3 linked regions of the Nothobranchius furzeri genome follow. The protein of the gene in region 3 binds, or shares a complex with, the protein of the main gene of each other region. Links are inferred from orthologs where the notes say so. Each region holds a gene or a part of one and is shown on either strand. Other genes may lie near its edges.

The links.
Region 1: rbm48 (region 3) and cript share a complex: the UniProt entries of both Homo sapiens proteins name them as parts of the minor spliceosome. The link is inferred for Nothobranchius furzeri from reciprocal best matches to the Homo sapiens genes RBM48 and CRIPT.
Region 2: rbm48 (region 3) and srrm1 share a complex: the UniProt entries of both Homo sapiens proteins name them as parts of the minor spliceosome. The link is inferred for Nothobranchius furzeri from reciprocal best matches to the Homo sapiens genes RBM48 and SRRM1.

Annotation. Positions count from the first base shown.
Region 1 is NC_091756.1:43,772,491-43,776,144, forward strand, and holds the start of cript (cysteine-rich PDZ-binding protein), read right to left. Parts: upstream 2,899-3,654; 5' UTR 2,758-2,898; coding exon 2,742-2,757; intron 2,584-2,741; coding exon 2,518-2,583; intron 2,235-2,517; coding exon 2,180-2,234; intron 1,394-2,179; coding exon 1,290-1,393; intron 1-1,289. Other genes in the region: pigf (phosphatidylinositol-glycan biosynthesis class F protein), read left to right, coding at 3,339-3,566. UniProt on the Homo sapiens protein: As a component of the minor spliceosome, involved in the splicing of U12-type introns in pre-mRNAs. Involved in the cytoskeletal anchoring of DLG4 in excitatory synapses.
Region 2 is NC_091758.1:35,720,188-35,723,840, reverse strand, and holds the end of srrm1 (serine/arginine repetitive matrix protein 1), read left to right. Parts: intron 1-86; coding exon 87-167; intron 168-523; coding exon 524-610; intron 611-717; coding exon 718-853; intron 854-958; coding exon 959-1,042; intron 1,043-1,140; coding exon 1,141-1,614; intron 1,615-1,697; coding exon 1,698-1,890; intron 1,891-1,976; coding exon 1,977-2,153; intron 2,154-2,264; coding exon of another isoform or gene 2,265-2,270; exon of another isoform or gene 2,271-2,286; coding exon 2,287-2,397; 3' UTR 2,398-3,077; downstream 3,078-3,653. UniProt on the Homo sapiens protein: Part of pre- and post-splicing multiprotein mRNP complexes. As a component of the minor spliceosome, involved in the splicing of U12-type introns in pre-mRNAs. Involved in numerous pre-mRNA processing events.
Region 3 is NC_091759.1:22,195,920-22,199,672, reverse strand, and holds rbm48 (RNA-binding protein 48), read right to left. Parts: upstream 2,464-3,753; 5' UTR 2,449-2,463; coding exon 2,320-2,448; intron 2,169-2,319; coding exon 1,978-2,168; intron 1,907-1,977; coding exon 1,761-1,906; intron 1,677-1,760; coding exon 1,147-1,676; intron 1,052-1,146; coding exon 989-1,051; 3' UTR 66-988; downstream 1-65. Other genes in the region: peroxisomal ATPase PEX1, read left to right, coding at 2,886-2,993. UniProt on the Homo sapiens protein: As a component of the minor spliceosome, involved in the splicing of U12-type introns in pre-mRNAs.

The sequences.
Region 1 (3,654 bases), on a different chromosome or scaffold from region 3:
ATTTTCCATGTAGTTTTTTGCCAGTTCCTCTTCTGAAAGGTAGACAATTGTTTTTCTCTTTCCCTCAGAAAATCTTAATATTCTCCTAGTTTGGCCCAGCACAGTTCACTTCCCAATAGCAGCAACAGCCTTATATCATAACCACATAAGTGGAGAAAATGCTCAGTAGCAATGAGAGAATTTGCTGTTCCATTTAAGTGATGTTAACTATTATTTAACATTTAAACTTATTTTCTGATATTTTTTTATTTATTCAAAAACCCTGGTAAGGGATGTTTTTCTGCATTTGGAGCATCAGAAAAAGTTTTATGGTGGAGGTGATGTTTTAAAGTCACTGAGAAACTGCATGCATGCAGTTTATTGTTTTGCTACTAATACAGTAGCAGGTGCAGCTGCATATTTTTGCAATAAAAATGTTATGTTGTAATGGAATTCATGCATTAGTTTTGTTTGCTTTGAACCCAGAGCAGACGTCACACGCCAGACGACATCAACACTGCATACTTTAGTATTTGTTCATTTATCGTGAGTAATATCGATATCGCAATATTAAACACTGTTATCGAATATCGCAGGTTTTTCTAATATCGTGCAGCCCTATTCCTAATTGTGAGTCTACCTAGGCATCATCATGAAGACATACCAAAGGCAGCAGGTTCAATGGGACACGTAGGCCTTGAAATCATTATAATAAAAAAGAAAACTTCAGCAAACTATAAAGATGATTTGTTTCACTGAGCATCTTCCATGTTTGATGAACCATCTGAAACATGGCCACTCCACTCTTTCATTTCCTGCAACTAAGACAGTTTGCTTCAATGTTCATCAAGATATGCCTTTTTAGATAAAGCCCTGTTTACATTTCATCATTCAGCCTAAATACAGTACAAACACACTGTATTCAAACAAACCTATCGAGAATGGCTCTAGATTATGCAAGTACAGTCTCTGTTGATGTGAGGCTGTAATTTTCTCCGGATTCTGACACTAAGACACACTGAAAAATGAAAACATCTGAGCAGAAAAGTCACAAGTTGAATTGTTCAACAACAGACAAACATTGCAGTTTCACAACTCGTCCCAGTTACTGTCACGTTTTCCTATAGGATGCAGATGGATTTGTCTCAGAGGAAAAGGATAATGTTGTTGGTGACATGATTACATGTGAAAAACTCAGCAGGGTGTTGAATAGAGAGCATGTGTGTGTGTGTTTTATGTAAAAGGGCTAATAGAAATGCTGTAGCGTTTTTGTGACACAAAACTAAATCTTCAGCACAATCACTTCATACCTTTCTTGTAAGCGCAGCCCTGGCAGTAGTGAGATCCAGCCTGATGAACTGAGCTTTTGCAGATCCTGCAGATTGCGAAGCCAGTCTTGCTGTAAGGGTCAAACCTGATGAAAATAATTGTTACACACATGACCAGTTATATCAGCTGACCACTTTGAATTAGTAATATACAACATTGAAAAACAGTAGCTAAACCGTTGTGTGACTTCTTCTGAGGAATAGTTCAGATAAGAGTTCATTATGATGGGCTTTTTAGGAAGATTTAAGAACAAGGTGTCACCTCATATTCTATACAAATCTTACAATCAGACTAAAAACCAAATGAGAGCTACTCCTTTTCTGTTACTAATAAGGTTCACCAGATATTGTCACCTATTCCCTTTAACTTGTATATGGACGATCTAAGTTTTATTTAACTAAGAGAGCATAAGAGTGGATGAATGGGGAAATAATGACCAATCATCTCATGACTGCTGAAGATTTGATGGTCTTTTACTCTTCAGAGCAGGTTTGCAACAGTTACTTAAGAGTGTGTTCCAGCTATGATGTAAAAATCAACTGTTATGATTGCAAGAAATGAAGAAGATCAGGATTTAAACGTGGTTCATAAAGTAAAATACTAAGGACAGATGATTAATGATGATTCATGTGGTGATTTGTGCCAATGCAGCAAAATGTATGCCCAAGCAAATATGGTGGTGAGAAAGTTTTATATGATAAGGTTGAACTTTAGTAAAATAACAGTTTTTGGTTCAATTTCAAGAAGGTAATTTTAAGATAAGTATATTAATGCGTTTAGAATATTTTCTCTGACTTCTCATATTTGTATTTACATTCATTAGATTGTTGTAATTAAAGTTTATTTTTTTCTATAAATTGTTTTTACTCACCTGGCTTTTTTGGATGTCAAAATCTTGTTCTCATTTAGCTTACGTCCTCCACTCTCTGACACAAAGAAAGAAGACAAACTTGTTAAACACGGACATCTAAATGTTACTATACCTATACTAATATAAAAAAAATAAACACCAATTAATTTATATTATGGCGTGATCAACCAAATGAGGACTAAACCTGCTAGTAACGTGAAAAAATATAGAAACAATGATTACATTTTCAAAAGTAACTTGTAAACAAGACAACAAGTCTCATATCTAGAATAATTAACAAACAGCAATTTATCATACTGATGGCAAAAAAACATTTCACTACGCATTCCTCGGGTCACCTGTTGTATTCCGTGCTCCGTCCTTCCAAGTGTCGGGGGTAATTACTTTTCCCAGTTTCTTCTCGCCTAAAATATAAAACAAAACAATTATGGAGGAAAATACAATAAGAACTAAACTATTGGCCTTCTAGTTTGCATTTGAGACTTTCGCTGACAAAAGTAACGTTCATCAGATTTTAAAATGAACAATACGTCTGAAAATCAGAAGCAAATGACATACATACACTTTTCACAGACCATCTTTGCGGTGTGTCGAATGACGCAGTAGAAATGATCGTTTGTTAGCTTTAGCTTGCTTTGCTAATGTAAACGTCCGGTCAGCTGAGGCATTTCAAATGACAGGTTTCATTGGTTGCTTTAACGAGTAACATCTTCTGTGATTGGTTAAAACAATTGAGTTACGCAACGCGAACTATAACTTACTACTTCCCGTTTATTTGCTTATAGGTTCTTCAAAATAAATGTTTGATAAAGTCAAGCACTTTTACCTTATTTAACCCAAGCGTATTCATTAGCAGAGATTGAGTAACAAGTAAAACATACACCTTTTTCACTTGAAATTGAAATAAACTGACCCGATAATCTATGATAATATGTTTCGAAACGGATGTTTTTTCATCATTCACCTAAGATGTCTGTGCGCAGTAGACTTTTACTGTGAAATTAAGCGGACGTTCTTACGTCTTCGTGTTTACGGAAACGCGGAAAAGAAATACATAGACCTGACAGTTTCCCAATGTTACCTTACGTTTTTTAGGTGTTTTATTTGACTTCCCCGCATCGTTATCGGGTTCTTGTTGTAAATAGTTCACGTCTTCATCATGTGGGACCATGAAATTAAAGCTATGGCGTCTACTCACGCGATTATCACCGCCTCGGTGTTCATGGCCACGGTCATCCCCGCGGTGTTTGTCCCGGGCTTCTCAGTGTATGGGACTCACCTGCTGTGGGTCTACGCGGTGTCCGGTACGGTGACCTGTGTCAGCGTCGCTATCTTCTGGCTGCTCGGCATCTCACCGCCCACCAAAAAGCACACACTGGGATACAAGGTGCCAAAACAACTAGATAATGTTTTTAAAGTGAATTGTTGATTATGTTCGACATATAAATGTATTATGTGATATGTGAAGGTATCTT
Region 2 (3,653 bases), on a different chromosome or scaffold from region 3:
GAAAAAAAGTTGATTTGGAGGTGACGTGATCTTTAAATTAACTTGGTTACAATAAATGCATCTAAAACTGAATGTTTTGGTTTTAGGTTTAAAGCAAAAACAAAGAAGAATGGATGATTCTCCACCTGCTAATGCAAAAGCACGAGCTTCTGATGGGTCTGACTCTGGTAAGTCAAATCCTCGGCCTAATGAAGCTCAGATCGTACTTCGTTTATACAGCAAGTCTCCATAAAATAGGTGCCATCACCCGAGGGTCATTACTGATCCAGATTAGCTAATCGCTTAGACTAAATTATTCCAGGTGTTTTTTAAAATGTTTTCCTCTTCCACAAAAATAACAGCTTAAAGTCCTGCTCAACGATTTTTTTAAGAATGCTTCCTTTTGTAAACTTTCCTTCCGTTACATTTAAACACAGCATAACGGGTCTTATTGGTAAGACAGAAGCATTGGTTGTCACTTTTACATGATGCTTTTGTAGAGTGGTACGAACACTGATCAGACAACCGATGCTTTGCTTTTCAGAGGAGGACAAAAATGAAAAAGGGGCAACAGCCGACTCGGTGCAGCAGAGACGTCAGTATCGCAGGCAGAATCAGCAATCTTCTTCAGGTCTGTGTCCAGCCTCGTTCGTCCTAACCCTAGATTTTGGTGTTTTTCCTTTACTGCATACAGTAAAAGGCCATTAAAAAGTTTTTATTTGTTTCATGTGGTTTCAGATTCAGGATCTTCATCATCAGAGGATGAGGGACCTAAGAGGTCAGCTACAGGGCCAGGAGCCAGAAACGGTGAAGTGAGGAGGAGGCGTAGCCGCACACCATCACCTCGTAGGCGGCATCGGGACGCCTCCCCAAGGTCAGACGCTTATCTCCTCAGTATCTGGATGATCTGACGTCTGTTAAGGTTTTATGTTTCCATTTGTTCTTGAACAAATGTTTTTATTTGTTATTATTCCTTCAGAAGAAGACGTTCTCCATCTCCTGGACGTAGACGTCGCTCTCCATCTCCCCCACGCCGCCGCAGATCTCCCTCTCCTAGACGCAGGCTAGTAACAATGATCTTTTTATATGGATTTACTGGGTAGGATTAAAAAAACTTTCATTAGTATTGATTTTCAACAATTTTTCTTTTTTTCTTTCCAGGTCTCCTTCACCGCCACCACGTCGTAGATCTATGTCCCCCAGACGTTACTCTCCTCCCATCCAGCGCCGCTACAGCCCCTCACCTTTGCCTCCAGCAAAGAGGAAGTTGTCTAGCTCACCCCTGAGACGCTCCTCTCCAGGTTCCAAGCGACGTTTCTCTAGGTCTCCTAAACGCAGAAGCTCTCCTGGTCCTAGACGGCGCTCTCCTCCTTCGTCCACATCTCCACCCCGTCACAAAAGGAGCCCCATGCCAGCCAGGCCAGGCAGGGACACACGATCCCCTGTTGCGTCTGCCAGACGCCTGTCCCCCTCACCTGCAAACCGCAGTCGGGCTGTCAGACGATCCACGAGTCCCCAGGGACGCTTTGCTTCTTCTAGTACATCTCCATCTAACCAGAGGCGACAGCCGTCCCCTTCACGCAGCAGCAAGCTCATTCGCAGGGTGTCCCGCACTCCAGAACCACACAGGAAGAGGTAAACGAGATGCAAGGAATGGTTCGACGCAATCCGTAAGTCTTTTGAAAGTTTTCTTTACACAACTTTTATTGCTTTAACAGAACTTCACCAAGTCCTAAGCAAATGAGGAGAGCATCATCCAGATCGAGGTCAGTCTCCCCCCTGCCAGCTCCGCAGAAAGGTCCAGCTCCTGCTTCCGCCTCCCCATCTCCTTCTCGCTCAGTCAGTGGGTCTCCCCCACCTCCTCCAGTCAAAAAACCCAGTAGTGCTTCAGGCAGCCCGTCTCCAAGCAAGGTTCGAATTTACTCTTAAATATGACACAACATTCTTTTTTGAAAACAAACAGTTTAAAAGTGTTTTTAAATAATGTTTGTTTTCAGATATCAGATGTTGAAGGTGGCGGAAAGAAAAAGAAGAAGAAGAAGGAAAAGAAACACAAGAAGGAGAAGAAACACAAAAAACACAAGAAACACAAGAAGGAGAAAAGCAGCGGGGGTGCTGTTCCGGGAGACGTAGCGGAGAATCGCGGTGCGGAGGAGGATGGAGAATCAAGAAAGGTAACGTTTGTTCTGTTGTTTTAGTTCATCTCTTCATCGTTTCGGTGGGACCACATGTTAAACACCAACATCGAATCCGTGTGTATTCAGGCAGCTAAACTTTAGTTAAAGGTCTGACATTCTTTTTATTCAGGACTCAGACAGTGACGCCGACGACGGCTTGGACGATCTGGAAAAACATCTTCGAGAGAAGGCCCTGCGCTCGATGAGGAAGGCCCAGATGTCTCCATCACAAATGTCATGAGAACAAGAAAGTTCTGAGTTTTCCTATTTTGATGTTTCTCATCAACTTGGTTCAGCTTTAGAATGTACAAATTGTCGATTCTTGTTTTTTTTTTTAATTGGTTTGGTACATTCTGGAGAGTTTTTCCTTCACTTGATTTGTGGGATAGATTATTATCTAAACTGTAAAGAAACTTGTGTTAATATTTTGAATTTGTTAAGCAAGAAGAACGTTACATTTCAGAGGTTTGAGTAGGGCAGGTTAATGGTATATTTGTCTGTGTACAGTAGATTCCATAGAGAAATGATAGCACGTGCATTGTCTCCGATGTGCATGAACCATTGACTGGTGAGAACGCCATCAAGTAATCTGCTGTTACTAACGCCTTTTACTAGTGGAAACCAAGTCACTACTGTGAGTCCGTCAAGGCTGTAACAAAACGTCCGGTTTTAGAGATGGGCATCATTTAACCTGCTTTTTTCTCCAACTTTGAAATTGTCTTGTTTGAAGATTAAATCTATCTTAAGGATGAAACATGTTTTAATTTTTTTCTAAACTGATTGATATGCAATTTTTGTTAAAAACCCCTGTATTGAGCTAATTTCTGTGGGACTGCTATAGTGTATGGTTTGTATTTAGTAACCTGGTTCCTGTCACGTCATCCTTTCAGAATTAAAACTTTTTTAGGATCCGTGTTTAAATTTTGTATTCATGTGGTTGTTTGTCTACCAATGGTGAATTGGTTAGCATGCAGTTGCTGATATTTTCACGTGAAGGTGCTTGATGATCATAGAATTCCAGAAACTCCGTAAACAGCTTGTGGGTTCACCTCTTCCGCGTTTGCCGGCGCATGGCCCAGCTGCAAGACACGAAGGGAGTGTGAGGCGTCTCTATGAAAAACAAATACATATATAGTTTAAGAACAACAAATGTATTATTTTGATCATTCTGAACTAATTTTCATGCTGGGGTTGTGACAGGCGCTAGTCCGCTATGAGCTGTATGCGAACTCCGACAAGTCTACGCCGGTGTTTAAATGGTGCGAACCTTTTAAAAGTACGAGTCACTAGATTAGACCCGAGGGTAAATTAGACATTGATGTGTCTACGGGGTAAAGTTAAAAGTCCCGGATTCTCATATTAGGCGTCTTTAAATGTCTGAAGTTGTTTCAACAACCAGGAAAAATCGATGTCATTCCTAAAAACTTAGGAGCCGCCATGTGGCTCTGTGAGATCCGCTACTAGAATATTCCCTCAATCCCTCCCCACATTTCTGAA
Region 3 (3,753 bases):
GGTCGCGGGGGTGGGGGGTTGGGGGCTGGTGCCACCCTGAACAGAGAGCCAGTCCATCGCAGGTGTGTAAATCAGCTTATTGTTTAATTACAATTAAATAAAAAAAATGTAAAAATATATTTACCTTGAAATAATTTGTATTGCTTGATTCCCACCTTGATTACAGCCATGGGCGGAACTTGATTTCTGTCCATTTTGGGTCCCAGCCAGATTCTCTGTGCTGACTTTTTTCTTCCCTCTTACCGCTTCCCTGCTGCTCTCTCCCTCATCATGCTCACTTATGCATGCTGGTCCTTGTTCTGCCTCTCCACTTGTCTCTCCTTCGCTCACCTCCTGATGGTTGGCGCGCACCAGAGCGGTGTCCTGAGCATGGCGACAGTAACATTCTCAGTGTCTCCACGTATAACACACGATTGTTTATGTCGACTCGTGTCCTTTTTATGCTTCCTGTCTTTTATTTGTGCCCGATGCGTTTTGCTGCTGCGGAGCGAAGCGCATCACCTGTTTTGTCCTCAGGTGACTTCACCACACCGGTGCGCCCTCGCTAATTTAGCGGTCGGTAGATCTTTTTGAACTGCAGTTTAAAGTTTTGTTGCAATAAAATTTATTTTAAACTGTGACTATGGTTAGTACACATGCACAAATATAGACTATATATGTCTCGTTATTGTTTTAATGTATATCCAAAAAAAATGTTTCTGAAGGTACGTTGTTTGAAGTTTTTTTTTTGTTTACTTCTGAAGGTGTGGCAGCTTTTATTTTTCCGTAGTGGCGCGCCACGGCAACATGCACATAGGAAACACAGTATTAGTATTTCTTTAGCTTTCTAAATGTAAATTTGTGCACTCTTTACATAATAGCTGTTTTTTTTAACCTTTTTTATACAGGTTGGTATCATAGCATACAACAGCCGATGAGATAAACAGTTTTCCGAAGCAGTGGGAGCGTCGGTTTTCTTCCAAGACTCCCATCTAGACACCTGTCCAGATCATATCCGACGACGTGGTTTTGTCTTTTTCTCAACAGCTTTGAAACCCGGAGCAGATCCCACCTGAAAAAAAAAAAAAAAAGATTCACATGTTTTAATCCTTCATTAAGGCTGATTTACTTTTTATGAAATTATTAAAGTACTGAATCAACAATGACCTGTTTCATTGTGTTCCTGATCAGGCTGGCAGTTGTGTTCAACGAGTCATCATTCATGTCCAGTTTAGGTGGTTCTGGTAATTTCGGTCCAATCAGGGTCTCGGTTCCTCCAGAAACACTTGCCGACTGCTCGGGAGCCTCTTCCATTCTGCGTTTCCTGATCTCCAAGTGCGAGGACCTTGGGAGAAACCTGAATGCTGAAGCCTGATCTGAGGTCAGTCTGTGTTCTGTGTCGTGGTCTCTCTCTGAGGCTTGGTTAACGCTTAACTTTTCCACTTGGGGCTGTTTCAAGTTTATGATGGCATCATGTAAAGTTCCCATTTTGTCCTCCTGTGCGCTGATCCCATGTGGACTGTTATGTCCAAAGGGATGCTGCTCCCATGGAGGTAATGGGAGAGGAGGGAATTCTGCATGTTGGCTGTGGTTTGAAGCATCCTCTGCACATTCTTTTTTAGAGGTTTGATCGTGTCTGACGTTTATGTCTGATGCAGTCGTCGATGATGCGGAGCCTTCGCTGTGCGCCGCTTTTGCTTTGTAAGAGAAGATTTGTTTTAAAGCATTGAAAAGCAACATTTAAAGGTCAGAACTAAATCAAACATGATGTTAAACGATACCTCTGCTCCGAGCTGCTCTCATAACATAACCCCTCCGGTCCTGTAGCTTTAGCCTGGTGTCTTCTACAGTCTCATACTCTGGGACGTAACACACATGCAGCACACCGCCGTAGAAGCTTTTCTCATCCATGTTGCGTTTGGCTGCTCTGAAACAGAAACATTCGATAACGATTAAGCAGGTATTTCCAGTAAAGTATGAGGAGCGAATAAATCGTACCTGGCGCTGGTTAGCTTCTGGAACTTGATGAGGTAGACTTCTGTAAACTCCTCAGCCGGATACTCGTCCAGAGGTCTGTACTCCTCCACAACACCATACAGGGCACACAGCTGGACCAGCTCCGTCATCACACCGATAGCTGGGACTCCCAGTACCATCAGGAAACGGGACTCTAGGTTAATGGTGTACACCTGGAAATTCACAAGACTAAAGTTACATTTCCTGCGTTCAGTGCAGTATTAGAATGATGTTACCAATTAAGCTAAAGCAAATCTTGTGTGTCTTCTTTACAGAATTTATGAACATTTTAGCTGAAATTAATAACTTCTAAGATTGTCTCACCTTAACCGCTTTAGCTCTTCTTCCTTCTCGATACTTTGGTCGAGAAATGCAAACTTTCTGCTGTTCGTGATGTTTGTGAACGTCAGGAACTTTCCAACAACCGGAGCTGTTGTTTACAGGGACCGCCATGCTTATTCTAAATGCTGTTCCGGTTTAACACTTTCAAAATAAATGCTTTTAGTTCAGTGAATGCGTCTGCACTTCCGGTTTAACACTTTCAAAATAAACGCTTTTAGTTCAGTGAATGCGTCTGCGCTTCCGGTTTAACACTTTCAAAATAAATGCTTTTAGTTCAGTGAATGCGTCTGCACTTCCGGTTTAACACTTTCAAAATAAACGCTTTTAGTTCAGTGAATGCGTCTGCGCTTCCGGTTTAACACTTTCAAAATAAATGCTTACAGTTCAGTGAATACCGTCGCGCTGCCTGTTAGAATACTCTTTTATTTTGAAAGCAAAAGATCAACTACTTTTGCCTGGTGAGGAGTCCATCGTCCACAGAGCACATCGATAAATCCAATTGCTCTCTCTGCCTGGTGTATGCTAAGCTAGCTAGCAATGCGAAAATTATGTTTAGCAACCAGGGAATTCAAGCCGTTCGTGTCGTTTTTAACAACACAAAAAACTGCTTTCTTCACCTCCCTTCCAAGTTGGTAGCGCATCTTTCCTTGAACGAGGTAGGTTAGCTAACTAATTTCATGTTGATTTACTGCTTTTTAGATCATTTCTGTACGTTAAGACTTAGTTTTAATGTATAATGTCTGTGCTAGCATAAACAGATGACAGTTTTTAAACGACTAGCCGGGTTGTCTTATGCTCAGATGAAAGTACTTTTGTTTGAGATTTTATAAACATGCAAAGCAAACAGTTACCTAATCAACGACAGCTGCTGGTTTTTAGGATTTTCAGGTGAATTGCTTCCTTGACATCTATGTTTGCCTTATTTTACTGCATTAGAGACTTAGAGAGACACACTTAGACTACTGTAACTCTCTTTTCACGTGTCTGAGCAGAACCTCCCTGAACCGTCTACAGGTGGTTCAGAACGCCTGTGCTCGGCTTCTGACCAAGTCCTCCAAACGCACCCACATCACCCCGCTTCTCCTCCAGCTTCACTGGCTGCCAGTCAACTTCAGGGTTCATTTCAAGATCCTGGTTCTGGTCTATAGAGCCTTACATGGACAAGCACCATCTTACATTGGTGATCTTCTTAGTCCCTACACCCCCAGCAGGTCCCTGAGGTCCAGTGATCAAAGCCAACTGGTTGTGCAGCACCAGGCTAAAGGTCAAAGGTGACAGATCATTTGCTGGTGTGGCCCCCAGACTGTGGACCTCTCTCCCCCTGAGCCTGAGATCAGTGGACTCAGTGGTCTCCTTTAAAAAGCAGCTGAAAAGTCACCTGTTCAGGCTTTGGTGGGACCTTCACCACCCTCTCCT